2 linked regions of the Cricetulus griseus genome follow. The protein of the gene in region 1 purifies or fractionates together with the protein of each later gene. This does not show direct contact. Links are inferred from orthologs where the notes say so. Each region holds a gene or a part of one and is shown on either strand. Other genes may lie near its edges.

The links.
Region 2: the proteins of Epas1 (region 1) and Ep300 purify together in Homo sapiens (affinity purification with western blotting; 4 studies listed by BioGRID and IntAct, with this or other methods). This does not show direct contact. The link is inferred for Cricetulus griseus from reciprocal best matches to the Homo sapiens genes EPAS1 and EP300.

Annotation. Positions count from the first base shown.
Region 1 is NC_048598.1:88,386,931-88,391,522, forward strand, and holds the start of Epas1 (endothelial PAS domain-containing protein 1), read left to right. Parts: upstream 1-1,790; 5' UTR 1,791-2,433; coding exon 2,434-2,459; intron 2,460-4,592.
Region 2 is NC_048595.1:378,786,621-378,790,430, forward strand, and holds part of Ep300 (histone acetyltransferase p300), read left to right. Parts: intron 1-821; coding exon 822-972; intron 973-1,087; coding exon 1,088-1,234; intron 1,235-1,536; coding exon 1,537-1,650; intron 1,651-2,770; coding exon 2,771-2,936; intron 2,937-3,789; coding exon 3,790-3,810. UniProt on the Homo sapiens protein: Functions as a histone acetyltransferase and regulates transcription via chromatin remodeling. Acetylates all four core histones in nucleosomes. Histone acetylation gives an epigenetic tag for transcriptional activation.

The sequences.
Region 1 (4,592 bases):
TGACTTTTGTAGCATCTGCTGCTAGGGGTTGAACCCAGGGCCCCACACATGCTTGCACCTTAGGGCCCTACCTTTCCTCTTAAAAACAAAAATCTTCCAAACAAATTTCATAACCTCAGCCCTACTGAAATGTTCCCTGCAGGTTAGAGGTATTGCATAGTCACCTGTCAAGCACAGCTCAGGATTCAAGAGCTCTAGAGGAAAACAATGTTAGGGTCCTTGATGCTGCCAAAGTGCTTGGGTTTATTTTTTTTTAATTATTGTTTGACTTTCCCCCCTTCCTCCATTCCAGTCTCAAGTGACTTAAATATGCTTACCGTTTATTATAACCATGTCTAATAATTTGCGTTTCTCATTAAGACAAATAAATGAGTCTGGCAGTGTTGTCTGGATGGAGAAGTGCTGTAGGAAATCACCCACCAGTTTCTTTGAGTGAAACAAATGAATGATCTTTGAGATCACGGTCAGGTATGTGGATTGATTTCCAAGTTCTCAAGGAGAGTGTCTATCGTTTCTGATTTCCCTGCTCTCCTGGTTCCTTCAGATACCTTCCCAAGTCTCTGGGAAAATGCCTGAAAAGTGCCTCTCTTCCTGTGTACCTACACAAACTCAAGATCCGTGTCCCCCCCCCCCCCCCCGCAGCAACACACACCGGGTTTCTGCTTATAATTTTACTAAGAAACGTTGGTGAGAGAGTAATGCAGTGCGTACTGGATTTGGGTCCCAGGACAGCTCACTTTGCAGTTGCTTGCTTTCTGGGTAAGTCACACATGTGAAGCTCATGGGCCTTTTTCCCAGTCTTCGCTTGTTCCTTCTGGAGATCTCCCCTTGGATCACCTAATTAGGAAATGGGAAAGTGTCAGGGCAGGAGCACCTCACAAGTGGAAAAGGCCAAAAGAGCTCTCTGCCTGCTCGTGAGGGACTTTAGATCCATCACTTCCTGAAGGTGGTGTTATTATTCGATAACCCTGGAGCCCAAGAGGGCGGGCAGATCCAGTGACTTGGGGTGTGCTATCAACGCTCACCCCCAAGATCACACCAGGGAACCCATGGTGATGCTGGCTTATTTATTGAGGCCTGGCAAAGGCAGGCCGGAGAACTCCAAGGCCCTCTTCTCTAGTATGCGCCATAACCTAACAGCCGACCACAAGCACCTCAAACAACCCACAAACTGGTAGAGAAAAAGACACCGCAGGAGCAACCCTAAATAATTTTATTTTTGTCACATTTTCTCCCACACCTTTTCCCCCTCCTGCCTCTCGGGACTCAGAAGTCAAGGTCAGCTGCGCTTCGCCAAAAAGAGCGCACCACCCAGGCTGGCAAGCAGCACTGCAGTCGGAGTCCTGGGAATTATTCCCACCTGTCAGGGGAAGCCGCACAGCTGGGGCAGGGACGCATAGCAGCACCTGTGAGTGCGGCTCACGCCTCCGCTGCGCGTGGGACCCCCCCCACCCCACCCCGACCCCGCGGTCCTGCCCTGGTTCAGGGAAATGTGCTACTGAGAGGACCCTGGAGCGAAGTCACTCTCTGGGCTCGGGTAGCCGACCCCTTCCACTACTCAGCCCGGCGCTGAGAGTACCACAAAAACAAGTGCTGATCTGCGGAAGGAGGAGGCAGGGCTGGGCGAGCTAGGGAGGAGCTCAGCCGGAGAGAAAGGGGCGGTCCCGGGTGAGGGCAGAGGCTGTGCCGGCGCCTCCTCATTGGCCGGGACGAGGCAGCCAGCGGGTAGGGGCGGAGCTTGTCTGTCTCCCCGCCCCGGCCCCGCCCATTCCCCACCCCGGCCCCGCCCCCGGGCCGCTGTTGGGACTCCCGCGCCCCTCGCGCCCTCCCGCGGGCGGGCCGTCCGAGTTTTTAAAGTGGGCTGGCAGCCGAGGAAACCGGACATTCGAGAGCGGCCGGTGCACAGCTTCGGAGTCTCCAGCGTTCCGCTCCAGCTCTCCTGAGGCGGCCGTACAATCCTCGGCAGTGTCCTGAGACTGTATGGTCATCTCAGCGGCCGCACTCGCCTGGCCCCGGATTCTTTCCAACTCGCTCTCTTTGAGCCACTGTTTTTGTTTGTTGGCTGGTTGGTTTTGTTTTGTGACATCCCAGAAAACTGACTCCTGTTTGCGGATAAACGGAACTTCAGGTCCCTTGTCTCTGCTCTCTCCTTTGGCGTCTTACAACCTCCTCCCACTCCTTTCCCCGGCCCCGCCTCCTCCTACAGGTTCCTCCCCGCCACCCCTCTCCTCCCTCCTCCTCCTCCGCACCTAGCCAGGCGTCCGCCAAACTTCCACCTGATTGTGCGGGACACTCGGACCTGCGAGCACTAAAGACCTTTCACACCTGCCGGGGCGACAGAGAGCCGCCGAGGGCCACAGCTAAGGCAGCGGCTGCAGCCCCTACCGGCCTAAGGAACCCAGGTGCTCCGGGTCTCGGAGGGACACTGCAACAATGACAGCTGACAAGGAGAAGAAAAGGTAAGCGGGCGTCGGAACCGGCGACCAACTCAGTGCCAGGCAGTGGCGGAACCGCGCGAGGCGGGCGCGACCCGGGACAGTTGCGGGAGGTCTCGGAGGCCGGGGGACCGCTCTGGAGGTGGCGGTGGGTGGGTGGGTGAGCGAGCAGGTGCGGACTTTACGGACGCGCAGCTGCCGCTTCACAACAAAGTCGCGAACCCGATCGTTCTGAGACCTTGAGTCACAGAGAGGTGGCCCTGGAGGTCAGGGGTGCTTCCGCGGCGCCTTCCAAAGTCTGTCGTCCCCAGAACACCAAGCTCTGGGGTTTGAAATGTTTCTGGGCTGATGCCCTCGACTTTCTCAGGGTTTACCTGCTGAGCAGACACGCCTTTCTTTTCCTAAGACCCCTTCAGGTCTTTCCGAGAGCTCTCCTTTGCGGGCTCCGCGCCCCAAACTAGTAAGGGACAGAGGGCAAAGCGCAACTCGGGGGCGCTTCCTGGCCCCAGGAGCCGGAACACGGCCAAGTGCCCTGCTCCTGAAGGCACTCAAGTTTTAGAACACCCCCTTCCCTCGCCCTGCATCTGGACTCCACCAGAGAGTGGGTAGTGACCTGGATTGCCCTGCGGGGGCAGGTGTCTTAGTGTGCAGAGAGAGGACGGCGACACCGGACCTCTCCGAGTGTCTGAAGAAGACAGAGAAGGGCAACCACGAAGGCCTGTCCTCGCGAATCTTTCCGCACTGGGTGAGAGGCAACTCCGGCCAACTCGCGCTGCCCTAGTGTCTCCTTCAATCCGCCCCGGATCAGGCGACACCGGCAGGGCTCTCTCAGAGCCTGGGTGCGAGCGCACCACGCTGCCGCGCAGCCCTGGGTACACCCTCGCCTCCTGCAAAAGTTTGTGGCTAGTCGCCTGGCCCTTTGCTCCTGTTTCGACCGGTGCGAGCCTTTTGGGCTAGAGCGTCTAACACTGGGCTCAGCGGCTACTTGGCTAGGGTGGCTGGAATCGAACGCAGGATGTCAGAGTGGCGCGGGCCGCGCGGGAGATCCGCAGGCAGGATGGAAAGGACTGCGCTGAGGACTCGGCCCCAGAGCAGACTGGCTTTTGTTTGGACTTCCACTTAGGGACCCGAGCCAGGAACAGTGTATCCTCTGGTCGAAAGCGACAGCTCCCACCTCAGGGCACCGATAAGGATTTGATAAACGAGCGAATCGCACCCGTCCTGGCCAGGCGCCCGCACCGTGCGCTGACGGATCTCTAGGGGGAAGGTATTGAGTCGGGTTCTAGATTCCCCGTTGTTGCCCACCAAACAGCTCTGGGGTGCTGTGTCCTTTGAGGTTATACAAGCAAGGGAAAAGACTCAAGCTGTAAAGGCAATCAGAATGCAGTCATAATCAAAACCGCGAAGTCAGACAGCCCAGAGCCGCCAGGGGAACTTACTGAACTTTTTATTCCTGCGGTGCCTATGGGTGACTGTCGCATTTGTACAGATGAGGCCTGATGGTAATCGGTGTGAAGTGTCATCTTGCTCTTAGGTCTACCAATCATGGGAAAAGCTGCTTCCATACCCGACTTACAGAAGCCTCCTTAGCAGAGGGCTGTTGGAGGGTGCGGGGAGCCCCAGTAGGAACAGGAAGACAGTTGCATAATAACACTACAAATTACCGATGAGTGCAAGCGGCCGCTTTAAGAACCAGTGAAACACGCTGGCCTGTGAACCTCCTAGGAGGCCGCTGCGGGTGTGCAGCTCCCTAGTGGTAGCCCAGCAGGGATTTTGCGTGTGTTAAGGTAAGGCAGGGCAAGCCTTGTGCAAGTTCCCTCACTGCCCAATGCCTGTTAGGCCAATGGCATTGAGACTCTGGTTATATTGGCTGGCTTCTTAGAGCATCGAGATGTATTTAAAAATTGTGAAGCAGGGCATTGAATGCCTCACGAAATTGTTGTGAGCTGCAGGGTTTCCTGAAAGATTTGTATTTTTATTGGTTTAAGAGCTGTTTCTTCTCTAGAATATAATTGAACATTTTTCATTCTAGAAACAGCCCCTCAAGAATCCAGAAGGATTGTTTCTATTCCCAGGCATCCCTGTATATACTAATCCATAACAATTAAGAGCAAGCCTTTTCATTGTTGGCTGGCTAACAGGCTTTGACAGAGGGAA
Region 2 (3,810 bases), on another chromosome or scaffold:
GATAGGATTTCTCTGTGTAGCTTTGGAGCCTATCCTGGCACTCACTCTGGAGACCAGGCTGGCCTCGAACTCACAGAGATCTGCCTGCCTCTGCCTCCCAAGTGCTGGGATTAAAGGCGTGCACCACCAACGCCCAGCAAAATGAAATAATTCTATATACTGAACTATAAAAAAAAATCTTTAAAAGGGATTTTTGTTAATTTTTTTTTTTTCTGTTCTGACACATGTTAAAATGTGGGCCATATGTAAAATTTATTGACTAGAATTATTGTCACAGGTTTCCCCCTTTAGCACTGCAGAGGTAATTTTAGGCCTTACATAGTCCTATGTGGTGGCGGATACCTTTTTTTTGTTTTGTTTTGGTTTTTTTTGTTTTGTTTTGGTTTTTTTTTTGTTTTTGAGACAGGGTTTCTCTGTGGCTTTAGAGGCTGTCCTGGAACTAGTTCTTGTAGACCAGGCTGGTTTCGAACTCACATAGATCCGCCTGCCTCTGTCTTCCGAGTGCTGGGATTAAAGGTGTGTGCCACCACCACCTGGCTGGTGACAGATACCTTTAACCCTGCACAGCGGAGGCCGAAGCAGGCAGATATCTGTCAGTTTGGGGCCAGACTGGTCTACAGATTGAGTTCCAGGATGGCCAGGGCTACAAAAAGAAATCCTGTCTCGAAAAGCAAACAACCATACAAAAATTAAGTAGATTATGTTTGTAGATGAACCTCTAGATTGACAGTAAAAATTTGATGCATGGTATTTTCCTTCTCTTTAATATTTGGAATTGGGCCAGGCCACACCTTGGTAACTTTTAACTTTTATATTCCTAGGATTGCCATCTACCAGACTTGGTACCTTTCTGGAGAATCGAGTGAATGACTTTCTAAGGCGACAAAATCACCCTGAATCAGGAGAGGTCACTGTTAGGGTTGTTCATGCTTCTGACAAAACTGTGGAAGTGAAACCAGGCATGAAAGCAAGGTGTCTAGTAATTTCCATTTCTTCTCTTATAGATCTGCAGTTGTTGCATGGTCAGTTACTGTTGATAAATTCCACCTGAATAATATGTGGTTTCCTTTCAATCTGAATTGTGTAGGTTTGTAGATAGTGGAGAAATGGCAGAATCTTTTCCATACCGAACCAAGGCCCTTTTTGCCTTTGAAGAAATTGATGGTGTTGACTTGTGTTTCTTTGGCATGCATGTTCAAGAGTATGGCTCTGACTGCCCCCCACCCAACCAAAGGTAGGACTGACTTAATATGACCAGCTTCTCATTTTGTGAGGGAGTGAATGGCAGGGGGATTGGGTTCATACTATAACTAGTGCAAAAACACACTGGGCAGAAACAATGATATGTATAGCATGAACCAGGTAAAAATTACATGGAAGCTATGGCCAACTCTGGTCCCCACTCAGCCACAATCTATGATTTTCCTATGATAATTTACAAATAACAGTGAGCACAGGAAAGAAAGGAAGATGTTTTTAGCCATGTAAATAATAACTATGTGATAGAACATTTTTCTCTCCTTGTTTTTGATATAGGAGAGTGTACATATCTTACCTCGATAGTGTTCATTTCTTCCGTCCTAAATGCTTGAGGACTGCAGTCTATCATGAAATTTTAATTGGATACTTAGAATATGTCAAGAAATTGGGGTAAGCATATTAACAATTACTCTCTTTTAAAAATAATGTATTGTGGAAATGTGTAAGTGTGTATTTGGCCTTCTCATGTTGATTGTGATATAGTGAAGCCACAACCTCTGTAATATGAATCTGATGTCATTATATGTTTCCCTGCCTTACTAATCCATTAGTAGTGTAGTTAAACCGTTATGCTTACAGTTTGAATTAAAAGTTGTTGATATTGGCTGGAGAGATGGCTCAGCAGTTTCCAGAGGACCTAGGTTCAATTCCCAGCACCCACCTGGTAGCTAACAACTGTCTGTACCTCCAGTTCAAGGGGATCAGACAACACCCACACACCAATGCACATAAAATAAAATTGAAAAAAGTGTTGATAGTACTCATTTGAAGATGAAATTTTTCCTTGATCCTTTTGTAATGGGTGTAAACAATGAAAAAAGTTGAATGTCATGGTGTGCATTTGTAATTTCAGCATATGGGAGGCTTGAGGCTGGAGAGTACAAGTTCGTTCCTAAGTTAAGATCTGAAGGTAGTCCTGGCCTTTTAAATACATTACATCCTGGAGAGTACATGCCATCTAACTTCTAGAAGATTCCTCCTAGCAGTTCACCTTGCATTTCACTTTTGTTAGAATGGGTTCTTAATCCTTTGCAATATAGTTATCTTTTATTTGTTTTTTATTTATTTGTCATGGAATCTAACTCAACTCTAAATATTTATATTTTCTTAAGAGCAAGGAGGTTTTTCCCAACCATAACTACAGTACCTATTAAATTTAGGAAATTTAATATCAACTAATACTGTCATTGGTATCCATTTTTTTCTTTTGGATTTTCAAGACAGGATTTCCCCTTTTAGTTTTTGAGACAGGGTTTCTCTGTATAAACAGCCCTGGCTGTATTGGAACTCACTCTGTAGACCAGACTGGCCTCAAATTCACAGAGATGCACCTGCTTCTGCCTCTCAAGTACTGAACTTAAAAAAGGTGTACATGACCACTGCCCGTGTCTTTTCATCTTAAAGTACAGATTTTAGGATCAAGAACTATGTCAGCCCATCTGTAAATGAAATTCACAACACTCTAGCACAAATGATTTTTTTTTTTATGTCCTTATCTTTGTATTTTTAGATACACAACAGGGCATATTTGGGCATGTCCACCAAGTGAAGGGGATGACTATATCTTCCATTGTCATCCGCCTGATCAGAAGATCCCAAAGCCCAAGCGCCTACAGGAATGGTACAAAAAGATGCTTGACAAGGCTGTGTCAGAACGTATTGTCCATGACTACAAGGTCAGTTGGAACATGGAAATGTATTAGTCTTGCTATTTTCTGTCTTCTCTTATGTTCTGACTTATAACATGTAACTGCTATAATTAGGCTAATTCCTTAAAGTATATTTTTAATAATATGTATGTATGTATGTTTGTTTGTTTGTTTGTTTGTTTGTGTTTTGTTGTTTGAGACAGGGTTTCCTTGTGTAGCTTTGGAGCCTATCCTGACACTTGCTTTGTAGACCAGGCTGGCCTCACACTCACAGATCCACCTGCCTCTGCCTCTGCTTCTACTTCTGCCTCCCAAGTGTGGGATTAAAGGCATGTGATACAACTGCCTGGTGGCACACCTTTAATCACAGCACTCAGGAGCAGAGGCAGGTGGATCTCTGTGAGTTTGAGACCAGCCTGGTCAACAAGAGCTAGTTCCAGGACAGCCACCAAGCCACAGAAAAACAATCTCAAAAAACAGGAAGGAAGGAAGGAAGGAAGGAAGGAAGATAGATAGATAGATAGATAGATAGATAGATAGATAGATAGATAGATAGATAGATAGATAGATAAGGTTTATTTTTATGTATACAGTGTTCTGCTGGCATGTATGCCAGAAGAGGGCACCAGATCTCATTATAGATGGTTGTGAGCCACTCAGTACCTCCGGAACAAGAGTCAGTGCTCTTAATTCCTGAGCCATCTCTCTAGCCCTGTTGGTACCATTTGAAATGTGTTCTCAATGTCTCTCTGACATGTGCCCTGGAGGACATTTTTATTTTTGCCATAGAATGAAACCTTTTAGAAAAAAGAAAGCATAGAGATTCCTATTTGTAATTTACTTGGGGTTTTTAATTTGTTTGTTCATTTGTTTTTAACAGGATATTTTAAAACAAGCTACT